Linked DNA regions of Daphnia pulex. The protein of the gene in region 2 binds, or shares a complex with, the protein of the main gene of each other region. Links are inferred from orthologs where the notes say so. Each region holds a gene or a part of one and is shown on either strand. Other genes may lie near its edges. The genes, in order: protein FAM91A1-like, TBC1 domain family member 23-like and syntaxin-16-like.

The links.
Region 1: the proteins of TBC1 domain family member 23-like (region 2) and protein FAM91A1-like are in contact, whole or in part, in a crystal structure (PDB 8JJ9), measured with the Homo sapiens proteins. The link is inferred for Daphnia pulex from reciprocal best matches to the Homo sapiens genes TBC1D23 and FAM91A1. Residues at the interface, in NP_001186127.1 of Homo sapiens: Arg533, His534, Val535, Ser536, Ser537, Asp539, Val541, Gly542, Lys543, Pro544, Tyr545, Arg546, Val548, Pro550, Val551, Phe552; in NP_659400.3 of Homo sapiens: Arg49, Glu60, Arg61, Tyr64, Asp84, Ile85, Lys88, Gly89, Leu90, Arg91, Ile92, Thr93, Phe95, Ser96, Ile159, Pro161, Tyr176, Ile177, Thr178, Glu179, Asp181, Ile182, Lys190, Asp194, Ile197, Asp198, Tyr216, Asn217, Lys218, Gly219.
Region 3: the proteins of TBC1 domain family member 23-like (region 2) and syntaxin-16-like are in contact, whole or in part, in a crystal structure (PDB 8QQF), measured with the Homo sapiens proteins. The link is inferred for Daphnia pulex from reciprocal best matches to the Homo sapiens genes TBC1D23 and STX16. Residues at the interface, in NP_001186127.1 of Homo sapiens: Leu638, Asn639, Ser640, Val641, Val642, Lys643, Ile644, Thr645, Ser646, Lys647, Lys648, Ser661, Ser662, Ala663, Ile666, Thr683, Lys687, Ile690, Met691; in NP_001001433.1 of Homo sapiens: Asp209, Asp210, Asn211, Thr212, Leu213, Tyr214, His215, Arg216, Phe218, Thr219, Glu220.

What each region holds. Positions count from the first base shown.
Region 1 is NC_060026.1:7,151,825-7,162,603, reverse strand, and holds protein FAM91A1-like, read right to left. Parts: upstream 7,205-10,779; 5' UTR 6,936-7,204; coding exon 6,864-6,935; intron 6,802-6,863; coding exon 6,717-6,801; intron 6,661-6,716; coding exon 6,451-6,660; intron 6,367-6,450; coding exon 6,219-6,366; intron 6,144-6,218; coding exon 6,107-6,143; intron 6,045-6,106; coding exon 5,944-6,044; intron 5,862-5,943; coding exon 5,702-5,861; intron 5,639-5,701; coding exon 5,383-5,638; intron 5,236-5,382; coding exon 5,111-5,235; intron 5,047-5,110; coding exon 4,506-5,046; intron 4,439-4,505; coding exon 4,091-4,438; intron 4,028-4,090; coding exon 3,633-4,027; 3' UTR 3,357-3,632; downstream 1-3,356. Other genes in the region: glutaminase liver isoform, mitochondrial-like, read left to right, coding at 374-495, 1,337-1,495, 1,564-1,695, 1,763-1,807, 1,881-2,012, 2,092-2,387, 2,465-2,624. UniProt on the Homo sapiens protein: As component of the WDR11 complex acts together with TBC1D23 to facilitate the golgin-mediated capture of vesicles generated using AP-1.
Region 2 is NC_060019.1:10,734,819-10,745,679, reverse strand, and holds TBC1 domain family member 23-like, read right to left. Parts: upstream 6,067-10,861; 5' UTR 5,927-6,066; coding exon 5,865-5,926; intron 5,797-5,864; coding exon 5,371-5,796; intron 5,303-5,370; coding exon 5,179-5,302; intron 5,110-5,178; coding exon 4,985-5,109; intron 4,923-4,984; coding exon 4,775-4,922; intron 4,701-4,774; coding exon 4,455-4,700; intron 4,372-4,454; coding exon 3,822-4,371; intron 3,762-3,821; coding exon 3,669-3,761; intron 3,609-3,668; coding exon 3,461-3,608; intron 3,400-3,460; coding exon 3,205-3,399; intron 3,143-3,204; coding exon 3,055-3,142; 3' UTR 2,550-3,054; downstream 1-2,549. Other genes in the region: uncharacterized protein LOC124191175, read left to right, coding at 1-72, 141-342, 400-695, 765-902, 975-1,209, 1,274-1,746; serine/threonine-protein phosphatase 2A 56 kDa regulatory subunit gamma isoform-like, read right to left, coding at 7,938-8,081, 8,199-8,538, 8,608-8,855, 8,918-9,191, 9,262-9,392, 9,467-9,536, 9,608-9,741, 9,799-9,998 and 2 more. UniProt on the Homo sapiens protein: Putative Rab GTPase-activating protein which plays a role in vesicular trafficking. Involved in endosome-to-Golgi trafficking.
Region 3 is NC_060020.1:4,599,958-4,610,249, reverse strand, and holds syntaxin-16-like, read right to left. Parts: upstream 4,815-10,292; 5' UTR 4,564-4,814; coding exon 4,483-4,563; intron 4,425-4,482; coding exon 4,176-4,424; intron 4,113-4,175; coding exon 3,944-4,112; intron 3,667-3,943; coding exon 3,440-3,666; intron 3,357-3,439; coding exon 3,147-3,356; 3' UTR 3,069-3,146; downstream 1-3,068. Other genes in the region: oxidative stress-induced growth inhibitor 1-like, read left to right, coding at 49-175, 256-419, 501-671, 1,136-1,474, 1,600-1,890, 1,954-2,427. UniProt on the Homo sapiens protein: SNARE involved in vesicular transport from the late endosomes to the trans-Golgi network.

The DNA.
Region 1 (10,779 bases), on a different chromosome or scaffold from region 2:
AGATTTTTTTTCTTGTTTAAGTTAATTAAAAAAATCCATTAGGCTACCGGTAAACCATTTGCGAAGATTTTGTTTTAGTTTAAAAGTTGGGGAAAAGGCTTAAAATACATAGGGTGGCCTCTTGGTAATTACCATCTCTGCATGATAGAATCTGCTTTACACTAATTAACCAATCAATGCAGCTATATACTTATACATTAGCCCCTCGCTCCGCCCCCGATAATGTGATGTTTTGCTTTTTTAAAGACATTTCGAGTGTTATGCTTCCGAAATCCACATTTGTTGTTGATATAACGTCGAATTGCTGTAACTTGTATCTTTAAAAAAACAATTGAGCCAGACCATAATGTTTAGAATTTCTGTGATTCCATAGAGAAACCACACAATCCGATGGTAAACGCAGGAGCTATTCTCGTTCTTAGTCTACTGCTTAATCTAAGCGAGGTAGACATGTCATTGGCCGAAAAATTCGATTGGGTCATGAATTACTTCAAGGTCAGTCCCCCTCCCCCTTTTTTTTAAAAATGCAAACGAATGTTTCCCCTGTGCTCTTTTTTCGTGCTGTACGTCTTCGCTGTATTCGCACCGTATGAGAGATGATTTCGTTTGCATGACATGTTTGTCGATGGTCGTCTTGTGCCTTTGTTCATAGCTTCTTTTTTTTTCATTAGATTCGTTAGAATCGTTACATTATACATCTACTACTAATGAATCGAATAAGGGCGTAACTAAGCCATCTACATTTCTTAAATTACAGTATTTTGCGTCACTTATTTACTTCTGTTGCCTTGTTTCTGCGTGTATTTCGCATTCGGTTTTCTTCTAATTTGCATTTGCAACGTAGATTATTATTTCAATACGTTGCTGTTCTATAGAAAGGCCACATAATCCTCTGGTAAACGCGGGAGCACTGTTAACGAGCAGTTTTATGCTGACTTTAATTCGTCGAGAGATGGCACTTTCGGATAAATTTGAATTTGTCAGAAGTTTCTTAAAGGTAATTGCGCATGATTGCCATTAAAAAAAATTAAAAAACAAAAAAACAAAACAATCAAATCAGTTGGCTAGCACTGCCGAGCATGAGGTGAAGGGTTAGATGAAGAATTGTGTTTTCTCCCTACACGTATAACTTCTTAATTTTTTTCAAATGAGGAGGCTTATTAAGGGTTGGCTTAGGTGGCTTCTATATAGATGTATGGCGACGCTCCTATGAACTAACAGCATGCTTCTAACTACGCATCAGGCTTCGTATATTGTTACCATATACGTTAGAAAGACTGAAAATTATCATTTCCTGAATGTAATCGAATCAATTTGGTATTATTTTCTTTCACAGCGGATGTCTGGCGGGGAGTTCGTTGGATTTAACAACGCCGTTTTCCTATCAGAACGGGAAAACGCAGACCGCAACTACGCGTTGGCCTTCTACATGCGCGAAAATAAATGTTTCCCAGAGAAAATCAATCTCCGCGAATGTCTTGATTTTTATTTCCAGGTCCGCTTTCTTTTTTTAGACCATTTCAATTTTACAAAATTTTAATTGAAATTTTTTGTTTTCCATAGTGTTGTTCCATGGAGGTGGATTGCGAAAGCATGTCCGTAATTGCAGCCACATTGGCTAATGGAGGTATCTGTCCTACTACGGGAGATCAAGTTTTGAAACCAGACTCGGTTCGAGACGTCTTATCCCTTATGGTAATTATTTTATCAATTGTTTGTGTTATGATTTGAAATAATAAAATTTGCTGTCTTTTAATTAAAGCACTCTTGTGGAATGTACGACTACTCTGGGCAATTTGCATTCACCGTAAGTCAAATAAATAATTTAAATATTAATTTTATTATTTAGAGAGTATACTTGATCCTAATATTTTTGCAAGGTTGGCCTTCCTGCTAAATCTGGGGTATGTGGTGGGCTCCTGGTTGTGATTCCAAACGTGCTGGGCATTGCTCTCTGGTCACCTCCATTGGATCAGTCTGGAAATTCAGTTAGAGGCATAGAATTTTGTAAAGTAAGTTTCTTTAATAAAACTCATTGAAAAAACAAAATTACTTGTGGATACTAACAGCAGCTTTTTCTCAATTAATTAGGAATTGGTCAGCATGTTCAATTTCCATCGCTACGACAACTTGAAACATGCAGTGAACAAGCAAGATCCTCGCCGACACAAATATGAGACTAAAGGTCTCAATATCGTTAGCTTGTTATTTTCAGCAGCAGCTGGCGACGTTACGGCTATGAGGCGCTATAAACTCTCCGGTGTCGATATGACGCAAACCGACTACGACAATCGTACAGCTTTGCATTTAGCTGCCGCAGAAGGACACTTGGATTGCGTAGATTTCCTTTTGAAATACTGCGCAGTGCCTCCCAGTCCGGCCGACAGGTACTTTGGATATTAAATTTTAATTTAGTAAAAGCGGCAGAAGAAATAAAAAAATCAAATCAAATCTGCTATTTCAGATGGGGACAAACGCCGAAAGATGAAGCAGTACGTTTCAATCACACTGCGGTGGCTGAATTGATTCAATCTTACATCGATAAGAAACCAGTCGCCGAGGAACCAGTAGAAGATACTAAAGCTAAAAGCAAGGATCAAGGAAGCATAGGTTCAATTTTTTAAGGATTCCCTTAGGTATGAGTGCTCTTTATCATGGAAAGGTTTTCGAGTTCAGATAATCTGAACAAAGAAACTACCGCTATCCTTAATAAAAAAAAAAGTAATTGGAATGTAGAATTGTGTGTGCTTCTTTAAGCATAATTTTTCTTCTTCCAGTTCTCAATCAGTTGTTATGTTATCTCGTACATCATTGTGTTCTGTAGTAGCCTCTGTCGTATAGCTATTGACCCGAAATCACCCAAGTACTTGGATTTAAACGGCGAATCAACTCCATGACTGTGTTTCAGTATGAATTTTTAATTCCATTTTTATTATTGTTAATAATCACACCTGTGTGTTTGTGAAATGGGACAAGTATTGACGAATAGTGTGAACTCTTCCGTCGAAGATGTCAATCCGCTCTGCTTCAATACTTTGAATGGTAGGTTGGCAATATCTGTTCACTAAATCACCGTTGTTTGTTTAGCTATTTGCTGTTTCTGTTTTTCCCTTCGACCTTGTTTTAGCAGGAGCACTTGTTAAAATCGATGGCACCAATGGTCAACTGTAGTTTAAAGAGAATAAAAGTAAACTGAGTGCGGTAAATGTACGAAATACTTCATTGTATATTTCTTGACTGGGCAGAAGGATGATTGGTGAAATAATTATTTGCACAATCTTTAGTGTGAGCAATCACATAGCGATAAGTCAATTTTCAACTACACTGGTAAAAAAATTACAATTAGTAGAAATTAATTAGCATGAAATAACCGTTTATTTTGACGAACAATTTCTAAAGATCTCTTGACTCGTGATTCACAATGACGGTTTCAATTGGGGCTAACGAAAAAAAATCTTCTGTAATGTAATATTTAATAAGACTGTAAGATAACCATAAATTGACACCAGAGCCTCAAGGCAATTACACTTAATAAGTTTTGCATATGCAGGGAATGTGTGGATCACATTATATAAGTTGGTTATGTTTTGTTTCAGTTAACAACAATAACATTTTTTTTAAGAATACAGTTATCAGTTGATATTCCCTTCCCATGAATTTAATTTGCCATCATGGAAGAAGAGGTTTTTTGTGGGTAAAACGATATCCGACGCTACTAGTTTCCCTTCGACCGAAATGTCTACGTTGTGCCGAATGAACTCCATTAAACTTTCGGACAGGGCTTTTTGCACTTTCATAAGAGAGTCTAGAGTTTCTCGTTGCCACAATTTTTGGCTGGTAATTCGATCACAAACCTCACTATTTAATTGCGAATCGAATAATGGAATGCCAAAATCAACATTCAAAATGGTCCAGTCAGCTTCGTTCCATTTTTCCAAATGGACTTTGGCACGAAGATTCAACGGTTCACTAACTTCGTCCACCATACTGTCCAACTCCTCGCGCAATATTTCAGCGCACGAAGAATCTGGAGATACGAAGCTTGTTTATCGACAGAGAAAAAAGATTTGTGAATGATTAATTTGTATACCTTTAATGCCATTAATGGGTGAGGACGAAAACGTTGAACTCCTGCTTCTGTGGTCGGATACATCGGTGATATCGGATGGTTTATCCAACCCAAGATTGATCATGGTTATAAAACCACAACTATTCTGCAAATTCAACTCTTGGCGAACCCGTTTAACAGTAGGGTGACTCATCCAAACATCCTCTTGTGTAGATTTCCCTTCCGTTTGGTTTAAAAAAGGGAACGGTATGTGCAATTTTTCCTGTTGACGTTGAGCACCATAACCTTGTATCATGAGAGCCGAATGGGTCAGCGCTTCGTTTAATACCACTAAAGCATTTGAAGCTGGAACCAGTCCAGAATCGTGGCCTGTATGATCCAATAATTTGTGGTTAGGAAAGCGACTTATTCTCTGTTGATAAAGTTTAAAAATTACCCCATGGAGTTAAAAGTATTCGATCAAATCGATGAAAAACGTTCGGCAAACGACGAAGACGTGTGCCTTTGGCTAGTAACAAAGTCGGCGGTCCTTGTTGAGTTAGTTGATACAAAAAGAGTTTAAACCAAGGCGATGTGAATTCGGGAGAAGGTGGACCCCAAAATGGCGGGAGGCCGTCAACAGAGCCAGAACGAACTTCAAGGCTTAGAGGAGCCATTGCAACCAGAAGATGATAGTTCTTGTGCATCAATCGGCTATAGATCTCGGCGTCAAGTGATTGTAAGCTTTCAACACGAATGAGATCCAGGCCCCCGCTCCAAGTACTAGTCCCACTGCTTGTATCATTCTCCAAAACCGGACGGGCCTTCCTCAAAAACTGGACGGTCGAGCGCAGGGTTAACGCGTGCTCAAAGTACCGCTGAGCTTCTCCTTCACTGTCGTCAGTACAGATTCGATCAAGTTCTATCAATAAACTGTCTAGGGATTCATCGGACAGCTTGCCGACTTCAAACATGGTGACAGCATGACTTTTAAGACCCTGTCAAACAAAAAAAGTTGTGATGCCATTTAACCATCTAAAGTATACGAGTTGTAGGCTGTACCGGAGATAAGTTTCCCATCATCAGAAATGCTGTCAGTGTTGAGTCAAACAAAAAAGCGATTCTTTTCTGTTCTGCACCTAGCTCTTTGTCTATCTCATCCGCAGCTGGGCCAACGGGACGATGGACTAAATAAAAATGATAAAAATAATAAAATATAATAAAATATAATAAAATATAATAAAATATAATAAAATATAATAAAAAATAATATTTATTATTATTAATAAATACGAATAAAAAACATAAATAAAATAAAAAGAAGAAATTGTTACCTTCCTTCTCCACCGGTAAAGGTGTGCCGAGTTCAGCTAAAGCGGCAGCGAGCTCGGCCAAGAGAGGATCTTCATCAGATTGTACTGAACTAACAGATGATGTCCGGTTGGGAGATGTGTTAAGAACATTTTTCCATGATGGATGAAGTGTACCGGGTTCCAATTCAGCATTTTTCTTACGAGCAAATCCCAAGCGGCAGTAAAGTGAAACGGCATTTTTCACTTGATCTACGCCAATTTGTAGGACATTGGCCAACTAAAACCGTTTGTCTTAATAAATAGGAAAAATAAATTATTCTTTAGAACAAAGATACAGTACCTCTCCAACACTCGTCTTTTCATCCACGGAGACAAATATTTTATACAGCAAAGTTTCAAAATAGTCCCCAAGTACACGATTCATAACAAAACCCTCCAGTGGTGGGACTGAAATATGATCACTGGCATCAATAGGCACTTCAAGGTACACCAAACCCTTGCTAAATAATTAATAAATTTTTACTCATGAACATTAAACATCATAAGAGCTTGCCCAATTATGTTGCAATAAATAAGAATTACCCATAAAGGTTGTGCAAATCATTGTAATTCAAAGTTCCTGCTTTGCGTGGACCATTGTCAATTATACAATCTATTAAGCACTTGTCGCCTTCAGTTGCAATCTGCGAACACATTTTAAAATCTATAAAGTGTTTCATTGTCAAACTACAAGAAAAGTTTAGACCTTTATATCATCCTCAGTTATGGAACCTGTGTGAACCCTACACAATTAAAAATAAACAATGTTAAAACAGGAATCAAATTAACAAATTAACCTAGAAAACAAAAAAACTTACAACCACCAAGGCTCTATCACCATTTTTTGTACAGGTTTTGTTGGGAGAAATTCTCTGGCATTCCTTTTTCTGAATAACTTCCTCCCAGAACGACTCTGGTTCATCAAATCAATATATTGGTTTCTTCCTATTCCAAGAAGCCTTAGACCTATCAATAAATGACATAAAAAGTATATTGAATCATATGAGTATATTGGATACATTTGAAATGTTTTATGTTTTCTTTACTTACAGTCTGCTGCTGTAAAATTTGGAAGTGCATCATAGCTTCTTTCTTGTAACATAATAGCTTCAACCATAGAAACATAGTACTGAAATGGAGTGACTCTCAGCCCTCTTACCATAACATCAGATAAATGGTATGGGTACAAAACAAGATGCACCCTACTGTATTCAAGCAGTTCCTCATAATATCTCTCTTCATCCTTTCTTACATGGCGCACTGGAAAATGATTCTCATTAAGATTAGTATTTAATAAAATAATACAATTATGTTACCTAAGTTGCCTTTATAACGAAGCTGATTTTTAATGCTATGTGCAACCACACATTTATCATACTCTTTATATGATCCACCTAATAACTGAGACAAAACATGTCACTACCTGTCAAAACACTGTCTCATATTGTTTCATATATTCTTACTTGTTTCACATTTTGAGGAAGCTTTGTCCAGGGACAATTCTTTTGAATGTGAGATTCTACTTCCTGATTCATGGCATTGATTAGAAAACACCTCAGTAACTTAAAAGTTTAATGCGAAACCACAGAAATTGTTGAAGAGGAAGGAATGAATGTTAAACACAAGAAATATCTAGCAGACTATTTTTTCCAATCGAACCGAATTTGCAACTAGCGGTGGCGATTAGTATTTAGTAACTAAAGAACCGTAGGCCTACGTCTTTTATCGAAAATCGAAATAGGTCATTTAACTACCTTTTTTCAATTCCTCATTTATCTGTTGCAATAATAAAGAAAACAAAACACATTTAGATGTAAATTAGGGCGTCCCTATATTATGGCATGCCGTGGGGACAATCTGTTTCCTTAAAATTGGAAGCTTAAATTTTAAAAAATACTTATTTAAATATTAAAGTAAATGCTTAATTACATTCAATTCTCTTATCTTTCTATTAACTTTTAATGTGTTTAAGTCTTAAATTTAAAAATAAAATTTTCAATGTTGAACGCTAAACGGCTAAAGTAGAAGTCTATCGCTGAAATTTGAAGTCTCAAGTATGTGAATTCGGTGTCTACTAGCGCCACCTATCAGTGAAAATACATACTCAAAAGGGCAATAGCTGTATTTAGGTATTGTTCACTATTCTGCGGAATGTCGCGGGAGCACAAATCGAACAAGTCCTTCAAACTTTGATTTCGTTTATCCTCTTGTACTCACGACGATTTCGTATTCTGTTTCAATGCGATAGATGTTTGATCCCCCGCTACCAACAATCCGCCCATAATCGCCACCTTGGATATTGGTGAGTAAAAGTCTGTTGCCAGGGAGAGATTTTTCCTCAATGGGACTGGAAATGACGACGAGTTCTTCTTCAGTCTTTACTGGGCCACTGATGATGGTGCGGGGGGGGTATTTTTTGAATCGTCCGGGGCGGGATTTTTCCCATTGTCCTACATTTTTTGATTGGGTTGTAGATCCACCGTACTGGGCTTTTGGGTTGTTTTCTAGGCATCATTCGGTTTCTGCTGGAATTTGGAAAAGATGTGAATCCAAATTGCATTGCCATTTTCCGAAATTTGGACTTTCCTAATCTCCTGAAAATCGTCTACGACACGCGCATGGACAACGCCCATGGAGGATTCACTCGTGCAGCAACAACCAATTAGAGAGCGCAGTTGGAGAGCGCGTCGTCCAAATTTTGGATCTTATCAACAGGCATGATCTCACGCTAAAGGTTCAAGTTATAATTGAACGACTACATTTCGAATCGAAGGGATTGTAATAATATAAACTACCTCATCTAGAAAATGCTTCGCTAACGCAGGTGTGAAATAAGAAATGCCGGAGAAATGTGACAAGGTTTTATTAATCAAATTGAAAATTCATTTCTCGCCAATGGATGATTATAAAGCGTTAATCAACATTAACCCAACGTTGTTGTTGGGGCTTTCGTCGTTGTTGTTGTGGTGGTTGTTGGGCTGGTGGTGGTAGTTGTTGTCGTGGTTGTTGTTGTCGTCGACTCTTTGACTTCCGGCTGGACGTCGTGGAAGGCGTGGCGGGGCTCGGCTTGGAGGACGGCCGGCTCGACTTGACCCAGGCACTTGACGGCCTGTCCGTCTGCGCCGACAAAGACGGCCTGACAGGTGCAGGATCGACGGAACAAGCAGCTTCCGGGTGGTTGGCGCACGTCTGTCCGGCGCAGGCCTCGTTACGGCTACACGACTTGATCTCGCCCTGCATCGGCGACTGCTGCGGGCAGAGGACCAAGTCCGGGCAGCGGCTGGCGCACTGCTGGTAACTTTGAAAGTTGTTGGCGCTGCCTCCGCATCCGCCGAACGAGAATTTCTCGCACAGCTGAGTCTACGGATTGTAAGCCCAGCGAGGGAAATTCGCCCGGCACATGCCCGGCTCCTTGGGCAATTCACACACGTTCACTATTAAAAATAATAAAACAAAAATTTTTAATGAAACAAAAAAATTTGTGAATTAAGTTAAATGAATAAAGTCAAATGAATTAAAGTCAATTGAATTTTCTACCTGGTTTCTCGCAGTGTTGGCTGCACTCCTGGACGGATTCGAAATTATTTTCGTTGCCTTCGCATCCGCCGGAAATGAATTCCTCCCAGGATCGGGAAGAAACGTTGTAACAGTAGCGGGGGAAAAGGGCCCAACAGTGGCCCGTCTCGGCCGGCTAGCTGCAGCGATCGGTGCACTCAAGCCGCTGGCCCTGTTCGTCGATGAAGGCCACCTTGCAGTCGTCGCAAGGATCGGCCACGCAGATGGCGTCCGGGATGAACGGGCAGCGGACGTGGAGGCACTCGTCCCGGTAGGCGGTTGGCTGGACGCTCGGGTCGGGGCAGATGGGACCCAGGGTCCGTTGCTCCAGGACGGTCCCGTTGGGCGAGCAGCGGACCGATCCGCGGGTGAAGGAGTCGTCGATGGGCTGGCCGGTCGTGTCCACGCACCAGCTGAACTCGCCCTGGCTCTGCTCCCGGGCATAGTCGCCCTTCAGGGTGCAGACGGGCAGAGAGATGGACATCATCAACGGGCCGGAACTGTTTTCTGTTTCGTTAATTTAAAAAAAATTCCATTTAATTGGATTAAATTTAATTCGATTAACTTTAAATAATTTCCAATTAAACGGACCTTCGGGGGAGGTGCAGGTGGAACTGCATCCGTTGGAGCAGCACTTGGCCCGGCCGGAACAGTCCGAGTCAGACGAGCATTCAATGACGGCCTTGGTGTCAGCTGGGCAGCCGAACGGGTTTCTTAATGTGAATCGGGCAGCCAAAATCGGGCAGCCAAAATTTCCGCCCGAGTCAGAGTAGGTCCTTCTACTTTTGATTCAGACATCTGTACATCCAGCGTCCTTTGCAACTTCATCAGCGACGAGATCATCTCTGATTTAGGATTTGTAGGGCCATCCTGTTTGGAGTGCGAGTGACTGCCGTCAAGCTCAATGTAGATGGAATCCTTGTCGTAGATGATACCGCCCACCCCAGACATGGGGGCATAGATCAGCTTCTCCTTTTCGACCAGCGAACGTTTTTTCAATTTATCCGGTAAAGGGCAAGGATCGGGAAGAAAAGAAACATCTTTAAGGCGGAAATCACCACAGCCTGGGATGTGGATGGGGCAGTGATTTCTCAAGTGGACACCACGCACGAAACCGTAAAGGCAGATGTCCCGATTGCATTTGGGATTCTCGTGTAATCGACTGGGAGGTGTCATGTCTTCCAATCGGTCCACCAAGACGTAAGGATGAGTCGATCTCCACAACAGAGGTAGGAATTTCATGACCGAGATAAAGCGGCCGAGGTTCTTGATCTCGTTTGTAGGGTAGGTTCCGTGGAGTTGACCAGAAAGGCAAAACAATTTCGCTCACTGGTAAACTTCTGTTCAAAATCTGTGCTTCAAAACTTTTTTAGTTTTTTTCAGTTGTTTGTTATTCTTGAACATGTCCAGATGAGTCAGAACGCCCATTACTCGGGGGAATCCATGCACCTGGTAATCGTTCGAGATCATAAATTTTGAACACAAGGAGTATGCTTCAGTAAATCTTACCTGACAGATGTTAAGAAATTCAAAAATTTCCATTTCAAAGCCAAACGAAGCATCAGTCAAAAGCAGAACAAGGTCAGCCACTTTCGCGATGTCTATCATTGAGTTGATGTCGTTATTGCATTCCATAAAAGTCACCCTTCGTTTTTTACCTAGATTTTTCAAGAAAAATAATAAGTTTTAGATTCAATATTGTAAAAAATTAACGGATAACGCATTTACGGGCCCCTGTATGGATGTGATATTCTGTCGTGTAAAGTTTTTTATTAGAGCTTGGAGTAGAGTGGTTTTTCCAACTTTGGGTGGGCCAACAATGGC
Region 2 (10,861 bases):
CAATACAATGCCACTATGAGACAAATGATCGCCCTCTTGGAATTATCATCTGATTGTACGCAGTCTGTCCAGGTATCGTAATTTGCCTTAGAACAACAGGGTACGTGTGTAACTGAGTTTTCTACCGGGATTTTAAACAGTACGATTGCAAAATTGCTCCATTGGAATTCAACGGAGAATCTCAGAGTTGGTGGACTGATCGACACGGGGTCCGACGTAACGACTTCACCGGTGGGAACTCGACTCAATCGAAATGCCAATGCGCGCTGGATAATTCCTGTCTCGATCGTAAATTGCAGTGCAACTGTAACGCTCTTTCACCCATAGAGACTACCGACACAGGCAAGTTGGTAACAACCTTTTTACGAAAGGAAATTACCTAATCGAAAGGTAATCTAGGTTTAATTATGGACAAATCCTTTCTTCCCATCACGCGGCTGAATTTCGGACGCATTTTGGCTCCACCCTCTTCCGGCCGGTACATCCTCGGACGGCTGGAATGTCACGGCCTTCAAATGATCTCAAGTGTTAAACGACTGCCAACTTCGTGCCAAGATGTGTGGCGAACTGGCTACACAACTTCCGGTTTGTATTCGATCCTGCGATCCGAAATATCTGAAACTGTGTTTTGCGACATGACTCAAGTGCCAGGTGAGGAAAAGGCTCTTTCCTCATTCGTTTCTACCGAACAATTTGTAAGTATAATTAACAATCCATTAAAAGTCTTGACTGCAAAAGTAACAAGATTATTACGTGCACTTTAGAATTTAATAACTGAGCGATTGGATAAAGCGGACGAGCGAATTCAGAGACAAGCAATGCGAATAAGGAACTCCGTGGTTCGATTGAATTTGTTTCTAGGTAGACAGAACCGGACAAACAGCTTGCAAATCCGCAAATTAGTACGTAAGCGCCAATAGACTTTTACCTATACTATTTTCGTGATTCACCAATGCATTGACATTGTTCTAAAGGAGTCGATAGATGAGAAACTAGCGAGAGATTTGCGAGAACTTTTCAACGGCCATCAAAGACAAAATGAGGAAATAGCAGAACTTAGGAGAAGATCAGATCGCCCTGCGGGAAAATCATTGACGCGGATGCCGGCAAACTGTCACGATTTGAAGACTATGGGTCACGCCCTGAGCGGAATTTACCCCGTCAAGGGAGACGATAACATCGATATGGTCTACTGCAACATGACATCAGGTGAAATTCTAATTTCTAACAAGAGGTGGGAAAAAAAACTAACTTTGAAATGTTTCAAATCAAGGGGCCCCTCGAGAAACCTGGATAGGAAAGGCGGACGTGGCGTCATCTTTGGTCTATTTTTACGTCCTAAGGAAATCACCGTTCTACTTGGAAGGAAGAGGAAATGTGCAATCGATCCTACCTTTTGAGATAACTCGATCCAATCAAGGAGGTGGGATGGACGCGAAAAAAGGTGTTTTTACTGTTCCCAAGTCCGGAACGTACGTGTTCCGGTTCTCCTTTGGAGCCATCAAACGTGAAAAGCCCCAGCATGTGTCGGTTACTTTGGTGCTGAATGACGTCGAGGATGTGGCCAGCATCTACGGCAGCGATCACCAGGGCTTTTTCTCGCTTTCCCTTCAATCAATCTTGAACCTGAGAAGAAAAGACAAAATTCATTTAGTACTTCAGTCTGCATCGGGAGGAGGAAATTATGAAGACATTGACATGACTACACACTTTAGCGGCTTCCTACTTGATGAACAGTTGTTTTGAAATTCTCATCCTAAAATGTTAATTTCCAAAGATTAAGTATTTTCTGTTTGTACTACTGTAATTTGTTTAAAACCTGACATGTGGCACGAGTTAATTATTTTGAAAAGACTTTTGTCGCTATCGATGCAATAATTAAAATCAAAATGTTATTTGTTGATCTTATAACGCCCTTGAGACCATTTAGTACACAATTTTCCTTTTTAGAAAAAAATCTATTTGAATTCATTTCCGATTTAAATATCCATTTAGGGGAGCCCCAATTAAGATTTACATTTTGTCTGCGATCAAGTATGTCGCGCTTCTTATCGCCTTCTCAAAATGTAAACAACAAGGATGATTCTGGCCCTAGCCGATGAAATATCACACCCCAAAACAACTCGGAGGTCCTAGATTGTTATCAAATAATAACATAAACATGTTTTTTTTTTTTTCAGTTACAAGAGTCGGTCCAGTGCACAAGCCAACGTTTCATTTAAACCTAGCTTCTAAGGATCTCTTTCGACACTCATGAACATGAAAGATGGCCAAATGTTACCTTGGTTCTGAATGATGTTTTGGCCAGCCAGCACCAGCGACAACGACGGCATTGAGCATCACTTCTCTTGCATGGTAATCCGTCTCGAACCTGAAAAAGACTAAAGCCGGAGTTTATTAAAAGATGAAGCATTTAGGCACTGAGAGAAGGAATCTAGGGTGCACTCACTTTAGCGGTTTCCTTCTAGATGAACAACGAAATCTCCTTTTAACAGCTGAAAGATGTCAGGCAAAACCCTAGTGATTCCTTCTAAATATGCTGCACCCGGTTAGCTCAAAATGTCGTGTATAACAACGGGTTTAAAAGACATCCTAGTACATATATTTCGGTGCAATTTTTTTTTTTAGCTTACGAATATATTTCCTCTGGTTGAATCTTATAGAAGTTTGAATAGAGAAGTTAACGATACAAATTCAGAACGGAAACGAAAAAGTTATCTAGGATGACCACCAAATTATTAGAACATATTTTTGAAATAATAATTAAAAATAGGGCTTACGGTGCTACCTAAATGAGTTTGGTTATCGTTAAACTTTTTACTACTGGTTACACCTGTGGATGGAAGAGGCATTTAGTAAGATTCAAGCAATCAGGTAAGTGATATGCTTCAATACGACGATAAGAGATGGAATATTTTCTTTCAACCCAAACCTAATTATAACTGACTGGAAAAGATTTTCAGATTGAAAAACTGGAATTCATAAGTTTGTTTAAAGGAAAAAAGTCTTGTGTAAATGATTCTTGATATTCATACAAGCATTCCATTGCTTCCATCAGCTATTTGCGTTGGCAGCAGAACTGTTGTTGAATAGTTGCAGCTTGACCAACTTGACAGCATCTCCAGCTTGAGGGACGACGAATCTAGAATCCATAAATATACTTTGATGTTTGTTGCATTGAATCTTTTAAAAAACTCTACCAACCTGTCTAAATCGACAATAATAGTTTCTTCGCCTTTTATGTTCCCATACTTGAAAGTGATAAATTCCGGATGTCGCTTTTTGCTAGTGATTTTCATGATTGAAGATAATGAACGATTTACGCTGATGCGCGCGAAACCTGGACGATCTTCAATTTCTCTTAGGGCATACAAGTGACTTGGCGTAATCAGCAAATAACTTTACAGCAAAACAAACGGATTACACATCAAATTTGCATAAACAGTTTTAAAGAACTAACCTCGGAAATGCATGCCCACTCTCCTTAACTTCATGACAACGGAATGAGTTGATTACGTCTGGTCTCTTAAGCCACGAAGATATGGCTACCAGTTCCTGGTTCGGTGCGTCTGCCTCTCGCTCAGAACTTCCTTCAAAAGTTGGATCATCTATAAAATAACACAATCATGAATTACTCGCTTTATAATTATTTGACATTGTTTCTATACCTCCATCTTGATCATCGTCAATTGAAAATACAGGCGCTATGTTGCGGTAGAGCTTGCCGGCTCCTTTGCTTTTTCCTCCGGTACTAGGATTTTCTAAAATGAAAGAATTGCTTAAACTAGTGAACTTGAAAGCACACAAATTAAATTCCGCACCTTTACTCTTGGACTTTGGTGTCGGTTCATTATCTCCAGCTGAAATAGGATTAACAATGTAGTCGAGGAGTTTGTCTTTAACTACTGCGGACTTTGAGCGCATCCGCCCAAAGAAATCGGTCTTGTTAGATGAAGAAGAGGAAGATCCCGTTGCGTGCTGAGGTGTTCCCTGAGCATTGCTTTTGCCAGCAGCTGTCGGCGACTCTTCAGATTTGTTGACAGTACATACAAGGCACAGTGATGGATTGTGATCGACAAGTCCGACCGGTTCAATAGAAACCGATGTGGCGACAACCCCATTTTCAATCTGAGCTGCAACCAGAGCTTGGTGAACAGCAGAAAAGCCGCCTTGGACTAGGCCAACAAACTGAACGTGTCTTTGAAGGAAAAACGCTACAACCATGTGGACATATTGGTCTTCTGCTTCTCTGCCCGATCCGAAAAACACCAAGTGCTCTCCCCCTGCAGCCGATTGTGCAGCGATGGACTGTTTCTGGGAGGATAGTAACGCTTGGACAGCCACGCTAAATGCTTGAGGTTCAGTTAGCATCTGTTGAAAATGATACATGTGAATGAAAATAAATGCTAAAATTCTATTCTCAATTCTAAATTCTGTCTGATTTAGAATCTTACAAGATTAGAGTCGAGGTGGAAAGCTGTAGGGAGATGGCCAGCGTTATATTGCTCTGCAGGCCGACAATCGACAAGGAAGAAACGTAATGCTCTGCTTTCGGCATCAGATTTTGTAGGAGGATTCAATAAATGACAACTGACTAGCAACTCTTGCACAGATACCGGCAGGCAAAGCGCTTGGGACAAGACCAAAAGATCCATTCTTTCATCTGACGCATCTTCGCCAAAAAGAGCTTGATGGTAGTCCTACGTTTCAAGTGAATATGAATTTTGAATAAAATTTATTATCGTATTTTAACATCAAAAAAATTTAATCTTACCCTCTTGTACGAAAAAGGAGTCTGTGCAGAATACAAAACAGCTAGTGAGCAAAAGTCGTGAATATCACCAGCTTCCATCTGTTGCGGGAGTTCGGCTATAGTTTCCAATATTTTTTCCTTCTCACCTTTGTGAGCCATTATTTCATCCCTGTTTGATCATTTCATGAAGATCTTCATTTTAAAAATTTGAAAAAGGATAATTAGGCCTACTTGGCATTGATGACGAGAACCAACGAAAGAAAAAATATTAAAAATGGATCGCCACGGATAAAGTAGTAGTCCCACAGAGCGAGAACAGCTTGAAGGTTACTTGAAGCTGCAAATAAGGATAGAAACTAGAAAGTTAAACAAGTTGCCAATCATTAGTCAATGCAATTATAAATAAACAATAGTGGATTAATTACCCATTTCTGTGTATACAAATTTGGTGCAATTTTATGTGAATCAAGGAAAGAACATAGTTCTGGTTCGTGATACAGCAAAAGTAATCGAAACAGATGCATAGCTACTCCATTAAAATGGCACTGCCTGTAATAAAAAAAGGATTCTGTTCCTAATTTGAAAACATTAATAATGCTATATATTTAAATGTTTACCTAGGAATATATGAATCCAAGATTGCATTAAAATAGCTGTAGAGTTCATTTTTGGGTAGTTTTAAAGAGACTAAAGGTGTGAGAATGTGCATCCAGCCATTGTTTGGGTCGTAATTGATGTGACGAGTCTTGCAATAATGAGTAACAAGAGACTCGAGATCAGAAAGGATGGAAACTTTGTCTTCTTCTTCGTTGTCCAACTTCTCCACAAAGATTTTACAGTCTTCTCTTAGTTTAGATTGATTAGCTAGGTCAAATATTTCGTTGAATCGTTCAAGTCCATCAGCAGGAGAGCCGGTGGAAGACCCCAACAACCGATACCAAACTTGTCCACGCATGGAATCGGGGATGCTTTTGCTACGACAAATCAGACGCAAATCGTGTAGACTGCACTGCTCTTGTAATGCTCCTTCAAGAGCCAAGATCCTTTATAATACACAGGTAGAGTTATTTTATTAATTGAATTAATAACGCTGCAAAAGAATAATTATTACCAAGAGCCATCGTCTGTGTCTAGGTCGTCAGCCATTGCACAATGTACATTTGCACCTGTCATATTCTCAGATGTTGTGTTTCGTCAGCAGACTATTTTCAATGACCAAGCTGGCAAGCTCCGCCTCCTACGGTCCTTTGCCCGTAGTAGCTGGTAGTAGTAACCAACCAAGCAAGTTGCCGTTTGGTTCAAAAATCGTTATCGCATCTACTAACCCATATCTACCCTCCCCTCCCTTCCTCGTTATCTGTTATACACTTCCTGTCCCAGTTATTAGGACTTGGGATGAAATGGAAATAAGCTGATTAATCTGAACATTTTGTTTTTATTTCTTGAGTTGTGATAATAAACTGAATAGACAACACACACCAATATATAGGTTTGCTCAGTAGAATGCTTTCATTTAATTCCTGTAAAAGAAAATGTGTCGTTTCCTTCTGGACCAACATAATTTCAAATCAACAAATGTGGAAAAGTGCTGTAGTCTTCCTAGTCAAAGAACTTTTTAAGTCAATTTCTACATCTCATTTGTCGCAGATGAAAACCACATCTCGTAAATTTTGCATTGAACACTACGCAGAGCTGTAATAGATAGCCAGGGTATATTGTATAAGAGGATGACACGTAACACAAGGGCAGAACACCACCACACGGTCTACACTAAAAGTGTCCTGACTCCTGACATTGCATTTTTTTCCCCTTTTACTTCTTCAACGAAGGGAATAGGGAGAAATGTGAAGCAAAAACCGTTTACAGCCAACCTTCCAAATCTGTCTCACAAGTTTCGTTCAAGATCTTCCGGGATTAATCGCCAGTGGCGCTGTATGAGAATCGGAAAAAAACAAAAAACAATGTTGAATAGAATTTGGAAAAAGGAAAAAAAAACTGCACTCTCGAAAATATTTCAGCGAGATTTCGACAATGTGCACTAACAGATTGAAGCCTGGCTAAATAAGATTGCATCAACATACAAACAAATAATTTGGGGAAAGGGAAATAAGTTGCTTATGAAGCACTGAGCACCAGGCATTGTATGTAATTGTTGTTGTTGTTGTTGTTGCTGTGTTTTGGTCAACCAGCTGCTGGATTACGTCCGCTATCTGTTAAGCCTTTACTGTTTTTCACTTTAAATCCCTATACCCGCTGTATATATCAACGGCCTTCACGGGCGATGTGAACGTTTCTTGCTACAACACGCGCAAACACTTATACAGCTTATAGGGACAACCAATCCAATAACTAAAGTTCCCATGAAGGTTATGCCAGTCTTAACTGGAGGGGAAAACATTAATAAAGGAAACTTTCGGGATTACAAAAAAAAAATAAAAAATAAAGAAAAAGAAGGTACAACAGGCCCTTTCCGAGTGACAGGAGTAGAAAGAAAAAACAAACAAAACAATAATAATAAAGCTCGGCCGTTATGTTGGAATTGAAATGGAATGTTGGAAAAGCGGCTACGTGTACAGTGGATAACCGTGAATGCCAATCAAAGATTTGAAACCATAGTGAGGAGGGAAGGCGTAGCAGGGATGATAGAAGCTATTATTTTTGTGTTTTTGTTGCTGTTTCGCAGGAGGGGACCTAAGGTACATGAACCACTACAATCTACTTGGGACATTTACACAGATTCAATATTTTTTTTGTTTGTTTGTTTGTTTGTTTGATTTTTTTAGTTTTTTTTTTGTTTTTGTTGCTATCTCTCCTTCCCACTGGCTCTCTGTGCCGTGTGTGCAACAGAATTCGACATCTCACGGGGATGGCCACAATCCGATTTGGGTTTTTCTGGAGTGTGTGTTAGGCAATCGACACTAAAACATCTAATCAAGGTTGAAGGGGTTAGCGTTTGACAATAGACAGCGTAGTTAGGCGCAAGTGGTAAAGGGGATAGTGATCTTCTAGATCTAGAGTTGGGAAATGGGGATATCTTGGCAGGTTTCTCTAAAAAAAAATGTTCCTCTACTTTTATGTATGTTTTAAATGGTTGATGCTGCCTCTACAGTTTGAATGAAAATTCTTCGCGATCTTCTTCTCCTCATCCTGAAAAATGTTGCACGCCAAGTACACATCACCTTGTTCAACTGGTGTTGACGTCGGGAGGCGTCGGGAGGAATTCATCAGCTCTCTTATGATCTGTCAACGCTTTGATCGTATAAGTGTCGTGGGGTAGTTCCGATTTACGTCGAAGTAACGGTTTCTCGCGATTCTTCACTCGTTTAGCCTGCATTTAAAACAAGTTCCATTGAGCATTTAAGTTACATTAAAAACATGTTTTAATTCACTGCCGTTCAACACCATTACATTTACACAATACAACATATTACTGTCACTACAGTACCTCACGAGCTTCGGCTTCGATCTTTTCATAAGAGACGTTGTTTGTGTCTTCATCCTGGTCCTCTCCTGAAGCTGCTTGTCCTGCAGCCGACAGCGCGGCGCTCACAGACTGTGCCAAAGCTCCACCAGAAATGGTTTTGGGCATGAGATTAGCCACTAAGTGGTGCTTAGGATTTTTAATAGCCTCAGCTTCTATTTGGCTCCAAAACTCCTCCCGTTCTTTGAATTTTTCCTTCTCTTTCAACCGCTCAGATCTGTATTGTTGCGTACAATCGTCAAACAGTTTTTGGTTCATCTCCATAAAGAGCTTCAGGGCGTTGTAGATCAGTCCATGAATTGTTCTGAAAGAAATACGTAGGAGAACATGAACTTAAATTTCCACAGACAAGGCAAAAATGAATTCTACTCACTTGTTCCAGTGCGACTTTGAATTTTTATAAAGAGCCGGGAACATGATGGGCAAGATAACTGAAGCGTTGTCACTGATCAAGCTCATAATGTACTCATTGTTCCAATAATATAGAGCACGCTCAGCCACTTGGAAATGCGGGCTGGAAACGCAACGTGACAGCTGCCTAAAGAGTTGTACCATGACCTTCGAAAACTCAGCTGGCTCCATAACATCAAGAATTTCTTCCAGTTCATTTAAGAACATCACCTGGTGATTACACGTAAGTAAGCTCAAAGACAACAAAAGACACTTGCAGAAACGGATCTTACCTCTTTGGGAGAATGAACTTTAGGCCAAAACTTCAAAAGACTGAGGACAACCGGTTCCGTCAGTGATGGATCTTTTTCCAAAAACTGGACGACACAATACGCCAGTTGTGGGTGATAAACGGACAGCGACTTGACCTTGTGCAGCGGCATAAGCACTTTAAGAAGGAAGACCTTGTGCTCCTCCTTTAAAGGAAGCGCGAAGCCATTAATAATGCTACCTAGGATTTCCAACAGCTCTGCCACCCCATTGTGATGCTCCGTTTCATAAATGAATCTGAGCAAAGAAACAGGATAAAAGGTTGTGAAAAGGCAACGCAAATATCGCAAAACAAATTGTGAGTTACTTATAGAATATGTTGTTAATTTGTTTTCGAATGTAGGCTCGGAGACCGAGAAATTTGCCGTATATCCGATGCAATGTAGTTTTAAGAAAGTCCCGTTCACGGGGATCTTCGGAATCAAATAGATCCAATAACTGAATTTATATAAATTTGTAATTTTGTTAATTTCGTGATAAAAACCATCAAGTCTTTTGTCTAAATGTGTCACCTGAAGTACAAACTTCTGGTCAATGCATCTCTTGGCTATATTCGGCTGAAAGTCGGGAGATTCCAAAAACCTTTTTTCACCAAACCAAAAAAATAAACTTTACGACATCTATCAAACTTCAGTGCAGGTGGTGAACGTTACCTCAGGAAAAACTCGTAGACAAGTTGGAGGTGAGGCCATGCAGCTTCCAGGGTCGGTTCATCCTCCTCTGGGTCGAACTCGGCTCCGTTGGGATTGCTCGAAGGCGGCAGGGCACGAAAGAGATTGGTGGCAAACTGAGAACAGAACATTTAATAATGTGTTTCCAAAAGTAATGTATAACCATAAAGTACCATATTCACAGCTTCAGGGTAGATTGCTTCAGTAATAACACCCCTCTGTGAAGTGACGTATTCAACCATCTCTAATAAAGCCCCACGTTTGACCTCCTTCCATTTGAGGTCGCTAAGTGGATCGGCTACAAAGTCAAACAGAACACAGCACTGCTGAATCTTCTGCACAAATAATTCCTCTCTTTCTGCTGGCGCCGCATCTGAAGTATACGAAAATAACTATGTAAAAATCCTTCTTGTAAATTTTAATTAAATTAAAATACCTTTGAGCAATGGCAATTTTTGTATTTCGCGATTTTTGGTAATGTTGAAGCGCGAAGAGCTCTGCCGTCGGTTTTTTACCACAGTTGTACCCGTGAACTTTATTTTATTGATTTGTGCTGGCGGTGGTGGTCCAGTCGCCAATTTGGGTCCAGAAGAGGGCGAACTTCCGGGGCTAGTTCTCCCGCTCTAAACAGCATAATTAACCGGTGATTAATATTAATGTATGCAAATTGATAAAGTGATATTTCAAAGGGCAAATGTAAACACACATTTATAAAAATAAATTATACGAAAAATAGTTTCTGAATTAATTAAAGGAGCTTCAGTTTCACTTTGGTTTAGATGTAACCAAACCATTCTGGTTTGTTAGAATATCTCTTTTGCAAGTAATTTGACTCCCAGACTGGTCAAATGTGAAAATTTTACTCAACATAATGTGGCCTGAATTCTTAAGCTATTCTTTAATAGGCTTTCTACAAAAGACAACCATCTTACCTCTTCTCCATTTTCTGTTGATGAACCTTCTTTGGATGACTTCCCATTGCCAACTTTGGGCTTGCCTGTGTCCTGTAAATATAAATAAAAGGGGAAAATGGGTTAGGTTGAAAAAGTTGACCTTGGTTACGAGGGCTGAACAATTTCTCCACTACCAAGCATAATTTCACTAAAATTCAAAACATGGGCTGCTTTTGTAAACAAGAACACTGAAATCGGGTAATGATAGTTAACCGAACATGTTACAGGTGACATTTCAGCAAAGCTGGCCAGCCACTGACGTGACGCCAATAAACCCTCCCAT
Region 3 (10,292 bases), on a different chromosome or scaffold from region 2:
TAGAAAACACAATGCATTCTAACGATTTGTTCACCTAGCAACAGGACCATGCGCACCAAATCCATTCGCTGCCCATTAACGGGTTCAAGACGATCGCGCCAAGCAGTTGCGGATACTCGATCTGTCGATATCGAAACGTCAGTCAAGACCATAACCAAAGACGTTGTCGTCGTCGGTAATTTATTTCCAAACGTTTACTGATGTTCTAGCACAATGTGAATTCGTTGAATAAAAGCTGAGATAACCCTTTTCTAGGTAACGGACCTTCAGCTATTACTCTGTCTTATCTCTTGTCCGGCCATTGGCCCTATTATAAGGGCATGGACGAGATGGGGCATCCACCAGACTTTCTTCACTACAGATTGGAATCGAAACCCAACTGCCCGTTGGTTCTTCAAGATCTGAAAGAATTATCAGAAGTAAGAGATGAAGATTATTATTATTATTATTTTGTTTTTGGTTATGTAGTTCTCTGGTAACATTTCTATTTGGAACGCTAGGGACTGGAAGGGCGGTCGAGCAATCCGGTTGCTCTTTTATACGACATTCTGAATCACCCAGATGCAGACACAGGTCAAGATCTACCATCACTTCTTGCATGGAAGAACCATCCCGAGCATGCTCTCGATCACGTGGTTCTTGGCAGAGGTCCCCCGGGGGGATCGTGGCAGGTGCGTTTATCAATTTATCTCACTCCTTCCCTTTCTTAGATTGTAAAATAGCTTAGCAACACGTACGTTTAGATTTGAACCTTCAATTTTTTTCTCAATCTGAAAAATATTTCATCCATCTTGGACTTTAATGGTGCGTAGTTACCGTACGCCGATACGACAATAATCAAAATTATTATTATGTAATGGGCCTTGTTTGTTGTTTACACTTAAAAAATTGTTTACATGGAAACACATATGAGCGTTGGAGGAAATGCAATACTGTTTCGACCTTAGCCTTGATTCTGGTACAAGGACAAACCCTATAATTACTGTAGAAACTCATTTCTCTCGATTTCCTCTCGACTCTAGAAAAGAGAAACTATGGTATTGCCACAGGCATTATTGCATCAAGGCCGATCTTTTTTTAAAAAAACGTGTATGGCCGTTTTTTCATTGTATTTTTCCCCTATTTTTTTGTATAGGCAATGGAGGGAGACGTTTTGACTATCAGCAGAGGAACGTGGATGGAACTGGCTAACTTGAGCTTTCGAGAATGGGAAGAAAGTGTTTGCGATCGGCAACTTGGGAGTCGTCAGAAACGAGCCTCGGTTAAGAACGTGGCTCGATATTATCACGATTACGTTGATATCAAAGGATTGCGCCCCTACTTCCGCGACTCAGCGGAAGTCACTTCGGTTCGTCGTGTAGATCAATTAAAAAATGGCTCAAACGAGAACAATGATCGTGGACTTTGGCAAGTGACGGGTCACATCCGGACAGCTGAAGGACTGGAAGATTTTCAATATTTGACTCCAAACGTGGTATGTTCTGTTATAATCTACTTTATAATTATAAGTACGAGAGTGAAAATATCTGGCTATTGAATTAGCCAATTTCACTATTAGTTTTAGGAATGTTGATAATGATTTTCTATTTGAAATAATAGGTCTTAGCCATTGGTGGTTCTGATCGCCCTAATCGTATGAACGTGGCCGGTGAAAATCTGCCCTTTGTCGTCAAATCCTTACAAGCGATGGAACAACTTATTTCCAGTCAGCAATTGAACAGTCGGAGTGAACCGGTTCTCATTGTTGGGGCTGGCTTGTCTGCAGCGGATGCTATAATTGCCGCACACTTTCATGGAATTCCCATCATTCACGCGTTTCGACGCAAGGCTACCGATCCTAGCCTTATCTTTGGCCAGCTTCCTTCCAACATGTACCCTGAGTACCACAAGGTAATTTTTCTCAATTTCTGATTGAGTTGACATCATTTCATTTTTGATTTGTTTAATTATCAGGTCTATCAGATGATGAAAGACAACGGAATGACTTACTCAGGATACACTCCGATGGAGCAGAGCCAAGTGGTGCGTATTCAAAATGATGGAAAAGTCTGTCTGCAAGGACCAGAGTGCTCCACTCGAATCAAAGTTTCTTACGTCGTGGTATTAATAGGCTCTCGACCTAGTTTAAGTTTCCTTGAAAATAAAGGACGTGATTTAACGGTCGACGTGACCAAACCTATCTCATGTCGTAATAACCCGCTTGATGTCGATCTATTCACGCTCGAATCCACCAAGCAACCTGGGTTGTACGCTATGGGGCCCTTGGTCTCAGATAATTTTGTCCGTTTCGCCCAAGGAGGCGCCTTAGCTATCACGAGAGATATTCATTTGAAATCCTGTCCATTGGAGAGGAAAGAAGAAGTGTCAAATCCGCCCATCCTTCATGTCCCTCAAGAATCCGTCAACTACCTTGATTGCCCGGCGTGACGTTGATCGCCATTTAGTTTTACCGGGGGTATTAAAAGCGTTCCTAATATTGAACTTTTGCGAATCAAAGGCGCTTTTAGTCCCCTCATTTGTATCAGCGGTTATTGATACAATCTATTGTAAATATCACGAAACACGGTTTTCATCTTTGAGAAATAAGTCCGAATCACCACCCTATTACACCTCCACTTCAACGAGTGCTCTGCTAGTCTTCGTTGTGCCTTCTCCTCTCTCTAAACTTCGTTTTCTACTACTCTCATTTTTTAAGAAGCTTTCGTTGAGAAATTTGAATATCTATTGTTGATTTTCTTTATGAATTTACTGCTGATAAGTAGAGCTTATGTCTTAAATGGCATCGTTACGGTGCTATACGTTACGCGTGTCCTTACTGAAAACATTTCCAAAAGGAATTTGATTGTTTCCAGGACTATAGCTTTAGGGGTGCGAAACAAGAGCGGTTTTAACGTTCTGTAATTTGTTTTTGCATGTCAATACTAAGGACGACCAATGTGTTTTTGGCCCTAGTTGGTGACGAGAGGGGTAGCTAATATTGCGACTGTAATTGAAAATGTACACTTCATATTAAAGTTACAACACCTTAGAAAATTCAAGTGTTTTGAACTTGTAAAACATATACTATGCAGCATTTAAACACGTACATTTCCAGCAGTTCAATACACACATGGAAAACTTGAACAGAAATTAGATTTTCTATTTACTCAAGATTTAACAGCAATTAAAATAATGATTAGAAGGATGATGGTGGAAACCAAACCGACAATGCATACCATCTTCCGATTTTTCTTTTGATAATTATCAGCTTTTTGCAGATGAACCAAACCGTCGTGAACTTTAGCTTGTGTATGCTCAATATTGTAGTCTATTCTATCCAAAACGGTACCTTGATCCGCGACCATGTGAGAGATTTCCTGCAGATTTAAGAAAATGAACAAAAATAAGTTACACCATAATGAAATAATGTTGCAATGCTTCAAAGTGTCAAAGAAATTACTTTAAATATCGAATTCAGTTCGTATATCGAACGGACCACATTTTGAATTTCCTTCTCGCGCTGTTCAACGAAAGACGAATTTTCTTCCTGCAACATCAATTGCTGCTGGCTCATCACTCGCGGAGTTTCGGTTTGGCTGCTAGTATTGGTCCAGTCATCATAATTCCAATCCTTGGAGGAAGTTCCACCAAAAAATTGTTGAGAACGTTCCTCGCGTGATTTAATTTCTGTTGGGCAGTGGGCAAATAAGTATATACATGAATTTACATTTTTGTTACGAATTGGTTAATTGATTTTTAAACTATTATCTAGGTGCAACAAAATACAAATCAGAGATTTGAAACTACATTCTTGTGTGATAAAGAAATGAAGATGACTGATGAGTAATGATTACTTATCACTTAGAATAAGTAATATTGACATGATAAAAGTGCTGTGACTGGCTTTGACTGTGACTGGAATGTGCTATACTTTGTAAAAGAAATAAATGAATAAGAACTGAACTGTTCAGATATGCATTCTGGTCACTCCTGAAGGTGTTTGATAGATTTTGTAATGTTGTTACCAAAGATGTGACCACATTTTTGGCAAGATTTGCTTCTGCCTGCCCCAGACTAGGACTAGTACTATTGTACTGAATCCTTTTTATGCAATTGTGGCAGGTGGTAAACATCTTCAGAATAAACAAAGAAGGATTGAAGTTTTAAACAATTTAATTAATTCTAATCTGTAATACTTTGGTTATGTCTTGAGTAAAGGCATCAATCTGCTGCTCTTCATTCATCGAGTCATCAAATGTGGGCTTAAGAAGATGTTTGTTTTGAAGAGAGCTCAACTCTTTTAGTCGAGTTTGAATTTTTGTCAAGGTGTACTGAGCCTCTTCTAAGCTGTCTGTCCATTCTGGAGGAATCCTTACATGAGTGGCATGACTCTTGCCGTGAACATCTATTTCATGACGGACCAAGGAATCCGTGTCTGATATGCTCTAAAAGCAAACCATTACCAATTACCAGTAATTTCAAAAGTCAAAATGAGTCACTCACTTGTTCAGAGTAAAAATTGCGACTTTGAATAGCATTGTTACGCATCAGAATGAAAATTTCAGTGATACTTCGTGTTGCCATTTTCTATGTGAACTTTCAGTCGATATTGGGGTTGAATCATCGATATTAAGATGTACGTGATCTAAATTTTCACAAGAAAAATCTAAATCGTACACATCACAATTGAAAACATTGATTTGGATAATAGATATTGCACTGAAACTTTATTTTTTAAATGCCAGATTTTGATTTTGACAATTTTAAATCGATGGACTCGATCCTTGTACAGCTGATTTTGACATTTCGTGGCACATTTAGTATGAAGAAAAGTTTTGGTGTCATCAGCAGCCACTAGATGGAAGTAAAAGAGCGCGTGTTTTTTTTTTTTTTTTTTTAGTTTCAAACAATTCATTAATATTCACCATAGTATTAACTATTAAGCCATTCCTAGCACATTTCATGAAAATTTTTTATGTGAGAGTAAAGAAGTAGTAATGCTAACGCAAATGCCAGACAGCTATGTAATGGTTAAAGTAATTGCTATGGTATGCCATTGCTTATAGTAAAGTGAACATTACAAAGTTTATTATACCAATACGGCATCACTATTTTTGCATACAGTAGATTACGATGTAGGGTTTAAATGTTTAATCATTATAGACTTAGTGTTAGTGCAATCCGTAATTATAACGCAGACGCAGGTGTAGGCTACAGTGAGCATGTATTGACTCCCGTCGTCCGTGGATGCTTAGGGCTGTCACCAGGTGGCTAAATATTTCAGTGTGTTTAGGGATTTTTTCTCCAAGTAGGAATACAGCCTTTTAAGGTCTGAGCCTCTCAGTCCCACATGCACACGAAGTTGTTGCTGTTGCAGACAGCTGGCAGGTGGTTTTCTTTACTTGCAGGTTTGTTTGCTACCTGTACAGCTTGTAGCTTTCGTCACATGCAGCAACACTTCAGAAGAGTTTAAAATAATAAAGTTGATCTGCTTTTTACGGTAAGGATACTCATTTACTAGTTAACATGTAGTTTTTTTGCTTGAAATCTGTTGACTTAAAGGTTAAAAACATTTTAAAAGTATGCCAATTGTTGATTCCTGTGTAATGTAACAGTAATTCCTAGAGATTACTTAGCTAAACCATGCTTCTGTCATTTTGTTCATGTCACACATGACTTTATTTTCTGATAGCAATTGATTTTTCTCCTAATAGGAATACAGCCTCTTCAGGTCTGAGCCTCTCAGCCCAATGTGCTCATGGGTTTGTTGCAGCCAGCTGGCGAAAGGTGTTCTTCTTGCTGGCTTGATTGATACCTGTACAGTTTGCAGCTCTCTTCACATGCAAAAATACTTCAGAGCAAATAAAATTAATCAAGTTGATCAGCTTTTCTACGGTAAGGCTATATAGTTTTTTTGCTTTGTATCTGTTGACTTCTCAGTTAAAACTGTTCTAAGGATGCTAATTGTAGATTCCTTTGCAACTTAAAAGTAATTCCAAAAAAGTGCCTAGTTGAACCAAGCTGCTGTCATTTTGTTGATGTCACAAATGTAAAGCATACAAATGACGTATTTTCTGATAAGGACTTTTTTTCTCCAAGTAGGATTACAAGTTTACAACCTCTTCTGAGGCTCTGAGCCTCTTGATGGCAGTCCAATGTGCAGAAAGACTTGGGTGCATCTAGCTGGTGAACGGTGGGTTGAGTTGTTCATGCAGATTCGGGTGTTGATATTGTTCGTACATTTAATAATGGACCATTCAGTCGTTCGTTAATGCTGTTGCTTTTCACTAGGTGTGTAAAATTATGTTTACCGGTGGCGAAGTGTCCGTGAGTGAGTGACGAAATTTGCTTTTAAGACAGTGGACTGGAATGTGTTGCTAACGTTGTTTTTTCGCTTTTACATTTAAGAATGATTGAGGTATTCTGACGCCATTCGACCAAGCTGAATCGAAAGTGAACAACTCTAAAGCAAGTAAGTGAATCATGAAGTTTTTTCTTTTCTTTTAGTCAATTTTTTAATCTGCTTGAATTTATTTGGTAAACGTTTATCGAAGATCATGCCTTTCTCCAAGTGGTCGCTGCCATGTCATGAAGATACGTCTTTGAGAGGGTCTCTACACTATTGTAAGACAATATTGTGATACTTGTAAGATAAATCAAGTGGGTTAGCATTGTGTTCTTTATCTTTGACAAGTGGCCTCGATATTTTGTGCTTAATCAGACAGTTTTGTGGAAAGTTCTTTTAATGAGTTGTAAATTTTCTGAGGAAAAAGCAGAAATTGCCGTCATTGTTAATAACTTGATGTGATTGTTGACTTTCTTCTTGATTAGGGTTTAGTTTATTCTAAATTTTAAATAAATCATTTCTGTAACTTATGAGTGGTAGAAAAATTTAATTTATTTAAGCTAAAGTTAAATATCACTTCCATTTTTCTGTTTTGCTTTGTGAAACTTTTAATTGGTATATTTTTCGTATTTCAAAATGTTACTGATTTACTAATGTTGTTTTGCGTTGTAGGATTTCATGGTCATTTTCCAGTTGACAGATGGACTTGAATGGAGTTTGTGCAGACTTGCAGTTCAACATCATACCATTCATACCTCTTTCTTATTTTTCTATGCTTGTTGTGTTCATGCGGTGTTGAAAAGTTGCTGAAAATAGTCCATGTTGCCTGATGGTTGTCGGGCATATTTAATCGACTGCATTTTGTCGATTCCTTCTTTTGCTACCTGTGCGTTGAGGTAATGCTTCTTGTACAGTCTCAGTTTTATTTACTTTTAATGAAATCTCCGTTTTCGTTTAAGTGAGTCGCCGTTCCATAGCTGAAACTGAAGAGACTGCTGAAATTTAAGACTGATAAATTATGTAGATGATCACAATAGTATAGCTGTGCTCCTTCCTTCCCCGTGTTATTAAGTAAACAGTAACCAACCAACACCCCTAGCTGACCATCACCCCCCGGTCATAATGCGATAAGCTCCATGATATGTGGAAAATTTGGAAAATTATGAGGGAAACTTTTTTATGAACACTTTACTTGCTTAATTAACATTCGTTTCAAAATTCTATTTTTACAATTCAACAAGTATTGTCCTAAAATTAATTGCTCCCTGAACAATAGTTACATACTTCTTTTCCATTTCTACAAACTATGTTGTCCTTCAAAACCTGATTCTTAATATCTATATGGCTTATTACTGTAATAATAGGGGCTCTTCGGGATCTGTTTTATTTAGCCGATTTATCTGGCAACGCAGCATGGCGCCAGTCTTTTTTGAGGGAAGAACGGGGAGAAGAGGGAGAATGGGACGAATGGGGGAGAAGAGGAAACGTGGGTCCCCTTTTTTTTCGTACGCCCTCCTCCCTCCCACTCGTCCCATTCTCCCTCTTCTCCCCGTTCTTCCCTCAAAAAAGACTGGCGCCATGCTGCGTTGCCAGATAAATCGGCTAAATAAAACAGATCCCGAAGAGCCCCATAAGCAACATACAAAACTTCCAATATTTATCATCACAATATTATATATATTTTATAATTTATTATAAAATTATTTTTAATTCAAATTTACTAATTTAGTTTATGAATAATTCAACCTCAATGTTAATTTGTTGTTGTTGTTTGTTAATATTAATAATGTTTAATCAAACTTACACACGCTCAAACAGGAAAAAGAGCGAAAAGTTGAGGAACGGTTATTACGAGAGCGATTTTACGGGGCCTCAGAAAAGGAGTCCAACATCAGTTACACATAAGCCCAGATCAATACTTAAAATACATATGTAGACTGCAACGAAAGAAATTCAGTGACATGAAAAGTGAACTTACACATGAAACCACAATACCATACAGTAGCAACAGCTTTATAAAGCACACCTCTCACCATCTCCTCATTAGGCAGCATCTCCATTAACAGCCTGAACATCAATGTCCATCGGAACCTGCAGACGAGAAAAAGAGAGATTTATCACAAGTAAGGCAAAGTACAGAATGATAGGAATGAAGTTAAATGTTAAAATGGTTATAAGTAAAAAGGAAGCAGTTTACAATATTTCGTCAACAATCTGGAATCACTAATAGATGTAGAAGCATGTAGAAGAACTGTTCATTGTAGAAGCATATTATAACTTGGAAATTTTGTCTGTTGTGAATTTGTGATACTAAAAGGTGGTTGCTTTTTGGTGAAGACAAGATATAAATTTGGAGGGGAATTTGGAATAGATTTGACACAACAGACAAATCGAAGAACACATTGAATTGTGAGACCAAGGACAGCAGCAACACTGCAACAGCTTCAAGCAAACCTTTCAGCCTTTCACCATCTCTTCATTAGGCAGCATCTCAATTCACAGCCTGAACATCAATGGCCACCGGAACCTGCAGAGAAAAAGAAAGATTTATCACAAGTAAGGCAAAGTGCAGAATGACAGGAATGCAGTTAAAAGTTTAAAAGGTAATCCGTAAAGGTAGCAGAACAAGATATTTTGTCAACAATCTGGAATCACTACAGATGTAGAAACATTTAGAATCACTCCTCATTGTAGAAGCATTATACCTTGGGGATTTCTTCTGTTGTGATGTGTGATGCTGAGGTGGTGGCTTTTTGGTGAAGACGTGAAATAAATTTGAAGGGGAGAATATAACGTGAGTATTAAATTTATTTGTCTTTTTTTGTTAGTTTTTTCAATTGAGTGTCAACTGTCAAGTTGTCAACGAGCTAGAGCGGACAACCGGACATCACTGTCAAATCAAACGTTTCTTTTTTCTGACGCTAGACGGCAAATAATTTTTAAAAATTTCTTTGTATGCGACAGTAGAACTCCAACGACAAAGACATTAGAACTCCTTTTTTAAATATTATTAAAAATACCCGACAGCAGAACTCAACTACGCGACAATCGTAGATTTTGAAAATCGTTAGTTCTATTGTCGGACATTTAAAATATTTAAAATTCAATGGAGTTCTATTGTCGAACTTCGAACATGAAGTTAATTAAAGAATTTATTGAAATTCTATTGTCGCATAGTGGAGTTCTATGTTGATATTATAGATTTTTATGTTGAAGAGTTAAAAAGTCTGAAAAGCTAACTAAAAACTGTGTGTATTTGTGTCATAGGGAAAGCTGCTAAATATGCTCATTTGATTCATTTCGTGCCAGCTAGTGAAAGGACTGAAAGCCGAAAGGTATGTCGAATTAAAGTTGAGCTACTGCGTGCAGCGTGCTGTCTGGAAGCAAATTGCTTCCAGACAGCTTTCCAAGCTGCAGCTTGCAGCTTCAAGCAATCTGGAAGCAAGCATTGCATCCAGCCGTTGCGTTCCGTCATTTGGAACAGGAATCTAATGGCTGTCAATAGGTGGCTGTCAATAGGTGGCTGAAATTATGTCCACCAGGTAGCGCGAGTGTCTTCAGCAGTGACGCATAACGGCCATTTTGTTCCAAGACGCAGAAGATATGGGTTGCTGGTCGTGACGTTTCACGTTTCTCATGATGGAAATTAAAAGCAGCTCTGTTAAAAGGTATTTATTGTTAAGTTCCTATTGTTATTGAATTTAAAATGTTGATGTGAAAATTTACAGGTGATTTAGCATGTAGAAACCACTTTGCCAAATCATTCAACTCAGACTTGGAATTGCCTGTACATTGCCGAAATGGCGTGCCTCGTGTGTCTTGCTGCCTGTTCTTAGGCGTACGTCTCATCACATGCAACAGTAAAAAGTAATCATTTTGATCAAATATCTTGCAAAAGTACTACAGATTTAGTTAACATGACTAGAGATTAGACCAATTTGCTCTGCTACGATAGAAATTTTGAATC